Macaca mulatta: one gene and its partner. Each later gene encodes a partner of the first gene's protein in a complex. Links are inferred from orthologs where the notes say so. Each region holds a gene or a part of one and is shown on either strand. Other genes may lie near its edges.

Region 1 (3,649 bases):
CCGGAGGGGAGGCGCGGGCCGCAGGCAGCTCAGGCTCCAGGGCTTGGGTGTTTTCGGAGGCTCCAGGGGTCCCCAGTTGATGGTGGTGTGCGGGGTGCCGTGGTGGGAGGGGTGGGGGAGCGTGTGGTAGGCGGGCGTCAGCGGCGCGGGCTTGCTGTCTGCGTGCTTGCTGGACGGAGTGACCGGGTGGGAGGGCAGCTGCCGAGGGCACAGAGCGGGAAGGGCAGAGAACGTGAGACTTGCATGCTCACCGTGAAAGGGCACTATCACGCACTTCCTTCCGCTCTTTAAACACTCCATGTGAAATAAACCCCAGGATTTATCATTTATCATTTCGTTCGAATCTCTGGCTCTCAGTAGTTTTTGGGGCCAAGCACCAGCTCGCGCCACTTGGGCTGAGCATGGGACCCCCCCACGGTGTCTGCCCCAGACGGGAGGGGCAGCTCTAGCTGGCGCCCCAGCACTCGGACATCCACTAGCCACATTTATTAGCTACGGAGTAACATTAACAGAAAAAAAGGTACTTTATCTAGTAAAAAGATGAGAATTTCACAAAAGCACACAGGGCATGTGGCTGTAAGAAGGAAGGTGATTCCCCCCGGTCACGTATTATTCTTCACCTGGTGATGAAGTACTGGGTGAAACTAAGGCCCAATCGCCTAGTTTTGTTTTTTAAAAAAGTTTTCCTGGCACACAAGCAGGCCCGTGCCTGTCTAAAGCTGCTGCTGTGTTACAAGGGCAGAGTACAGCTGCAAGAGGCCTGAGCCTGTAAAGCAGAGAATGTTTACCATCTGGCTCTTTCTAGAACACTGCCAAACCCTGGTATAAAATCAGTTATTTTCTTAGAAAACTCAACTTTAATCAAAACAAAGTTAATTGAAAATTAACTTCTTAGAGGAGGTATGTCATTAATGAATTTTATATTCCTGGGAAACCCGAAATATCCCATCACAATGACAGTTAAATGAGAAAAGTTAAGTAAGTCTCAAAATCAGCCAACAATGACTTCAAATTAGCCAACAATAGTAAGGCGCGTTTAATGGGAGAACAAGCTGTGTGGCGCTGTGAACTGGAAACCTGAGTGGGGTCGGCATTCTGAAGTACACGACCTTCAAAACAGGCTGAGAGGGAAGGCCCCACAGCAGCTAATGCCACAATTTCAAGAACAGACGCCATCAACTTTCTGCAATGATCACATTCTAGTCCCTGCATGGGGGAGGGAATCGTGTGAGATACAGGTCATGCTATGAAGCCACCGTAACGTCATCTTTTCATAGGAAATAATGTATAGATGGAGAAAATTATGTAAGACATCCCTCCTAGCAACAACGTCAGAGTTAAGTAGTGTCTGGTTTTGTTTCTCCTTTCTTGAGAAAGTCAAAGGAAGTATGCTTTATGCTAAAATTAGAATATGACTTCAGTTGGACAGAGTTAGATCACAGGAGAATACATCATCCCACAAAAGAAACTCTGTAGGAGAACGCAGAACATTTTAAACATGAGGCACAGTGCCTTCCCCGCCACCAGTGAAAGAAACACTAAGACGGAGGGTCTGGCCGCAGAGAAAAGCTGACTTGATGTAAAATTGTATGAAGTAGAGTTTCAGGCTGCTGTTGAAAATCTGAGTGAAGCAGCTCATCCACTGTTCTTTATAAACACACGTGTACACATGTCGCTGGGATAAACTGATCTCCACGAAAGAATGGAGAATTTTAAAACGGCAGAGCCATTAAAGATGAAATGCTAGCTAAAAGCCAATGAGTAGTTATCTGCACACTGCTGAGAGAAATCAGATGGACTCTGAAACTGATGAGAATATCAGAATACAGCAATCCTTCTTGATCTACAACCTTCCCATGAAGAAGAAAACATGAAAACTGAGCACACGACAGAACTGATCCTAATAACCTAGTAAGGATGTGAGGGAATCTGCAAGCTGAAAATGCCGTGTCATCGCCACTCATTCTTTAAAAGCTCTGCCCAGTTTTTCGGTATTACTTGATAAAGATGACGACTGTTAAAACAACCCGATACCAACTTCTTGAGCAAAAAACACCAGGAGAGGTTTAAACACTGCAACCGAATTCAGTGTTCATCTATTTTGAAAAGTTGTAATTCTCTAAAAATTCAAAGAGTTGCTGAGCTTTTCTAAGTAAAAGACACCTCAATTTCTTAAAATCAACAGTGTGTCATAAATTCTATTTTAATGCCTTCAACATGAATCTGGCCCTTTTCATCATCATAATCATTTATTTTCGTTTTCTTAAATGAAGCATAATAAACAGTTAAAATTCTCAGAAAAATCATCTATAGTTTAGTGTAAAACTCCCCTAAATTAGTCTTCTAAGGCCACGCTGAGCAAAAGCAGCTTCCCACCCAAGCACCTCTGAATTGTGCGTGAGGAGGCACAATTCAGGGTTGTTTCTCGAGAACACTCATTGGAAAACAATTCACTACTGCACAAAGAGGGCCAAATATTTTCAGAGAAATATCAAGCAAGCGTTTGCATTTTTATCCCAATATTGATCAGGTTTTAAAGCACGTGATCACTTGCTGACAGCTCAGCCACGGGATGCCACGCCTGGAGTCTGGAAGGAGAAGAAGCGCCAGGTCCTTACGGTATGAGACGGCACCGAATGAGGCTTTATGGTGGGGTTTCCCACAGATGTGACCTTCGTTTGCTTCTGTAGGTGGTCCACCCATTCCTGCAGATCCTGCTGGTTGTTGCATGACACTAATATCCGCTCGATCATGCTCCCTAGAGGAGAGAAGGAAAAAATAGGCCGAGTGGAAACACAGGTAAAAAGCGCGTGCATGCACACACAGCCCCCAGAATTCCACTCAACGCTTAAACACCACCTTCTGAAATATGCAAGCAAGAATCTGCACGCGGGGACAAGCTGCCTCTCCTCCCCGAGACACGGCACTCACACAGCTTGTGCCTATCACCTGATATTTCAAATGCATTTCTATGGTTTTCACTGTCCTCAAGCTTTGTGATTGTCATTCCTGTCGTTGGAAGCTTTCCCTAAAAAAGACCCCCCCACAAAAAAAAAACAATTAGTGCTTTTCTAGAAAAAGGTACCATTATTAAAGTAATATTAAATGATTTTAGAATTGGTGGAGGAACTGTTTGTGAACCAAAAAGAGTTCGTTTGTAGCAGATGCATGTATAATACAAAAATCTTTATCTCAAATAATAAATCATATTAATACTATACTGTAAGCAAGAAACTCAACTGGCGACAAGGGACAGACTGACAAGCCCAAACACACACTGCATCTGATGAGCTGCTACTAAACAGACACCAGGACAAAAAATCTCACATTATGATTTTTTAAAAACTACCACGTGTAACAGTTGTTTTAAACGATGTTTTTGCAGAAAAGCAGCATGTATTTGCCTCATAAAGAAATACAGAGGAAGCTCCAAGTTTAAAGTCAAAATAAGGGTGGGAAATTGAGGCAAGAACAAGAATTGCCTAACATTCTACTTTATAATCCACCAAACAGAAAATAAGTAGTTGTGCTAAATGCTGCACACAATGCAGAAAATGGTTGGCAAACCAATGCTCCCTGAAAATGGAAGAAATCAGTAACTGCAACAGGAAATGTCAATGGAAAAGATACCAGAAACGGGGTACAAAGT
Region 2 (3,649 bases), on another chromosome or scaffold:
ATGCTCTGCACCAGGTGGCAGGAAGGACTGTGGGCTTGGACTGGGGACCTTGGGCAAGTTGCTTCACCTGTGTGAGGCTCTGTTCCTTCAACCATGCAATGTGGCCCATGACCTCCCTCCCCAGAAAGGACCATGAGGAGTCTAATGAGACAATTTGGTGAGATGTTCCAACTATGCCCTGCACACGGCATCAGTGTCCCACAATGGGACCCAGCCCACTTCACTGCCTTTGCCTCAGCACTGCCTCCTGACAGGGTAATCTCAGCTACACTCTCTGCTCCTTCAAGGCTCAAGGGGCGCCGCAGGGCTCTCTGAGGTCTGAGATACTCTGGGTATCTGAGAATGGTCTGCTCTCTGCTCCACGTTTTCCCTGATCGCCCCCACAGCCCAGCCCAGCGCAGGCCCTGCTTCCACCCTGGGTACCTTTGATCTTCTCGCCCTTGCTCAGGGAGATCTCCCCCTCGGCTTGGGCCTGGTACGACTTCACAGCCATGAAGGAGCGTCCGGGTACTGCTGAGTAGAGCTTCCTCCGCCTCCCACGGCTGCCCAGGGAGCCCCCGGGGCCCCCTGAGCCCCCCGTGCCCCCGGCTGGCCCTTCCCGGGGTGTCCCGCTGGAGCTGTGTACACAGAGGGCATGAGAGGCAAGGGAGGGTGGAGGGAGGGAACACCTCTGGGAGGACAGGGGTCCTTGGGTGGGGGAAGAGGATGGAGCATCAGGGTGGAGGTGGGGGGAGGGGCTTTCCCAGCACTGGTGTCCTCCAGGAAAGAGGGCATTTGGGGGCTCCTCTGCCTCCCCGCAGCTGCCCCCAGCCCCCTCTCCTGCCTCCTGGCTTCCGGCTCTGCCCCCTCCCACGGTCCTGTGCGCACCGCCTGATTCAGCTTCCTGAGGCTGAGCTGGGACTGTGTCATCCCTCCGCTCACGAGCCTTCCGCGACTCCCAGCTTCCTCCTGGGTCAGGTCCAACTCCTCTGCCCGCCGTTGCCAGCCTCTCCCCCACTTCCTCGGGACACGCCTGGCTGGCCTCCACCTCCTTCTCACCCTCCTCTAGCCATGTGGGCCTCCTGACCCCGGAATGTCCCCCGCCCACTCCTCATCCTCCCTCCAGAGTGACCTCTCTGTCCCCCACCCAAGTCCCTGCCACCACCCCCATCCTCTTCCTGCTCGGCTTCCCTCCACCTCACCCTGTCATTCTCTGTCCCCAGGGGTTGGGACACATGTTTCTTTGGGGTATCCTCTGCATGGGGCCCCTGTCGTGGAGCAGATGTCCAGCTAACGTGGTGCACTGGGGGTGGAGTCGGGACAGTAGCTCCCAAGGCCCTTCCTTTACCCCACGGTGACACTAGGGACTTGGATGGATGAGGGCCTACAGAGGAAGGCAGCTGGGCTGGCCTCGGGGGAAGCCACCGCTCTGGGGAGGGGATTTGACGGGGCTGGGGACTGTGGAGCCAGGGCTGCCTCCCCTACCTGGGCCGGCCTCGGGGCTGCCTCTTGGCGTCCTCAGGGTGCCTCCCTCGGGATGGAGAGCGGGCCCTGGCACCCCGGGGGCTGCTGGCACTTCGGAGGGTCCCGCTGCTGAGCTTGGCGGTGGGGGCCGAGGGCTGCGACTGGCCCTGGGACCCTGAGGTAGGGCCAGGGGCCCCAGAGGACGAGGCCCCTGGGGCGGAGAACACCATCCAGTCGGGCAGCGCCATGCTGGTGTCACTGTTGGCCCGCAGCAGCGCCGGGGGCACTGTCAGCCCTGTGCCCGGGGGCCCCCGTCGCCGGGCCGCGTACTTGGGGGACTCCTGGAAGGGCACTGAGAGGGCACAGTGGCGGCGGGGGGCAGATGTTAGGGGAGAAAAGGCAAGCAGGGGGCCATGCGGGGGCGAGAGATGGTGGGAGAGAGGCATGAGGGAGAAAGACAGAGATGAGAAAGGGCGGGGGGCCTGGAATTGCTCCCCCAACCACCACCCAGACATTTTTGGTCCTCTAGGGTTTTCTCCATCCTATCCTGGCCCTCAAGTCAGGTACCCCAACTCTCCCATCCTACCATGAAACCCCAGCCGCCCCAGGTTCTCTGTGCAGCCCCAGCTCCCTGTCACTCACCCACATCCTGTTCTCGATGGTTTCGGATCAGCTCCCCCAGCTCAAAATTCCCAGCAATCACTGCCACCTGGAGGGAGGGGGTAGAGGTGGGTTGGCGGGGGGCGGGGTGGCCCAGGGAGCAGAGAAAGGGCAGGAAACATGCTGAGGTCCCCAGCCCGACCCAAACCTTCCACCCTGACAATGCCGCCCTCCCTCTTCTTCCAGCTCCCCCTCCACGGCCTGTCTCCTTGCTTTCCTCATTGTCCCCTTCCTTATCCACTGGGTGTCACTGTCAGCCTTTCCTTAGCCCTGGAGACTTCAGTATATCCACTGCAGCCCCAGACCTGGAATGGGGTCTGTCCGTTGTTATTCTTCACATCCTTGTCGGCACCTCGATACAGGAGGATCCTGGCACAGGTCTCCTGTGGGTGATGGCCAGTGGTGCAGGACAAAGAGAGAGAAAAAAGATTAAGGGCACCATGAGTGGATACAGGTACTATGCTAAGAGCCTCAGGAATAAATACTCCACCCTAAACCCACACCACTCAGGACAGCAGCCACCTGCCAGGTACGGACCAGGAGCACTTGAGTTTAAACATGGATGGCCCAAATGGAGATGCACCATACATGCGAAATACACACTGGATTTCAAGGATGCCATATGAAAACAAGAGAGAATTTAAATGTCTATAGCCAGGTGTGGTGGCTCAAGCCTGTAATCCTAAGACTTTGGGAGGCCAAGACAGAAGTTCCAGACCAGCCTGGGCGACATAGTGAGACACTCCCCATTTCTATAAAAAAGTAAACAGAAGTTAGCCAGGCATGGTGGTGGGTGCCTGGAGTCCCAAATACTTGGGAGGCTGAGGTGGGAGGGTCTCTTGAGCTCAGGAGTTTGAGGCTGCAGTGAGCTGAGATCAAGCCTGGGTGACAGAGCACAGACCTGTCTCCCCTCCGCCCAGAAAAAAAAAAAAAAAAATGCCAGGCGTGGTGACACACACCTGTAATCCCAGCACTTTGGGAGGTCAAGGCGAGCGGATCACTTGAGGCCAGATATTTGAGACCAGCCTGGACAACATGGTGAAACCCTGTCACTACAAAAAACTACAAAAATTAGCCAGGTGTGGTGTCGGGCGCTTGTAATCCCAGCTACTCAGGAGGCTGAGGTGGGAGAATCACTTGAACCCAGGAGGTGCAGGTTGCAGTGAGCCGAGATCCCGCCACTGCACTCCAGCCTGGATGACAGAGGGAGACACTGTCTCAAAAGAAAAAACACACACACAAAAAAAAAATAATTTCTGTATTGATTCTATGTTGAAATGATAACATTTTGGATACACTGTTACAAGTAAAGTATGTTGTTACAATAAATGTCACCTAATTATTTTCCCCTTCTCCTTAACATGGCCACTAGGATATTTGAGGGCATTTAGGATACGTGCTCATGCTATGTTCCACTGAACGTTGGGGCCAGATAATTCTTTGGTGATTCATTGGTTTGTGGGGGGTGTTCTGAGCACTGTGGGATGTTGAGTAGCATCCCCCGTCTCTACCACTAGATGCCAGTAGCACTCCCCTCCCCAGTCAT

What was found.
Region 2: the proteins of ARHGEF7 (region 1) and SHANK1 are in contact, whole or in part, in a crystal structure (PDB 3L4F), measured with the Rattus norvegicus proteins. The link is inferred for Macaca mulatta from reciprocal best matches to the Homo sapiens genes ARHGEF7 and SHANK1. Residues at the interface, in XP_063131056.1 of Rattus norvegicus: Asp735, Ala737, Trp738, Asp739, Glu740, Thr741, Asn742, Leu743; in NP_113939.2 of Rattus norvegicus: Gly673, Phe674, Gly675, Phe676, Val677, Leu678, Arg679, Gly680, Ala681, Lys682, Phe696, Glu703, His735, Arg736, Val739, Ile742.

The regions. Positions count from the first base shown.
Region 1 is NC_133422.1:105,634,358-105,638,006, reverse strand, and holds part of ARHGEF7 (rho guanine nucleotide exchange factor 7), read right to left. Parts: intron 3,029-3,649; coding exon 2,950-3,028; coding exon of another isoform or gene 2,860-2,949; intron 2,759-2,859; coding exon 2,619-2,758; intron 199-2,618; coding exon 1-198. UniProt on the Homo sapiens protein: Acts as a RAC1 guanine nucleotide exchange factor (GEF) and can induce membrane ruffling. Functions in cell migration, attachment and cell spreading. Promotes targeting of RAC1 to focal adhesions. May function as a positive regulator of apoptosis.
Region 2 is NC_133424.1:63,096,624-63,100,272, forward strand, and holds part of SHANK1 (SH3 and multiple ankyrin repeat domains protein 1), read right to left. Parts: intron 2,487-3,649; coding exon 2,409-2,486; intron 2,153-2,408; coding exon 2,086-2,152; intron 1,796-2,085; coding exon 1,465-1,795; intron 618-1,464; coding exon 424-617; intron 1-423. UniProt on the Homo sapiens protein: Seems to be an adapter protein in the postsynaptic density (PSD) of excitatory synapses that interconnects receptors of the postsynaptic membrane including NMDA-type and metabotropic glutamate receptors via complexes with GKAP/PSD-95 and Homer, respectively, and the actin-based cytoskeleton.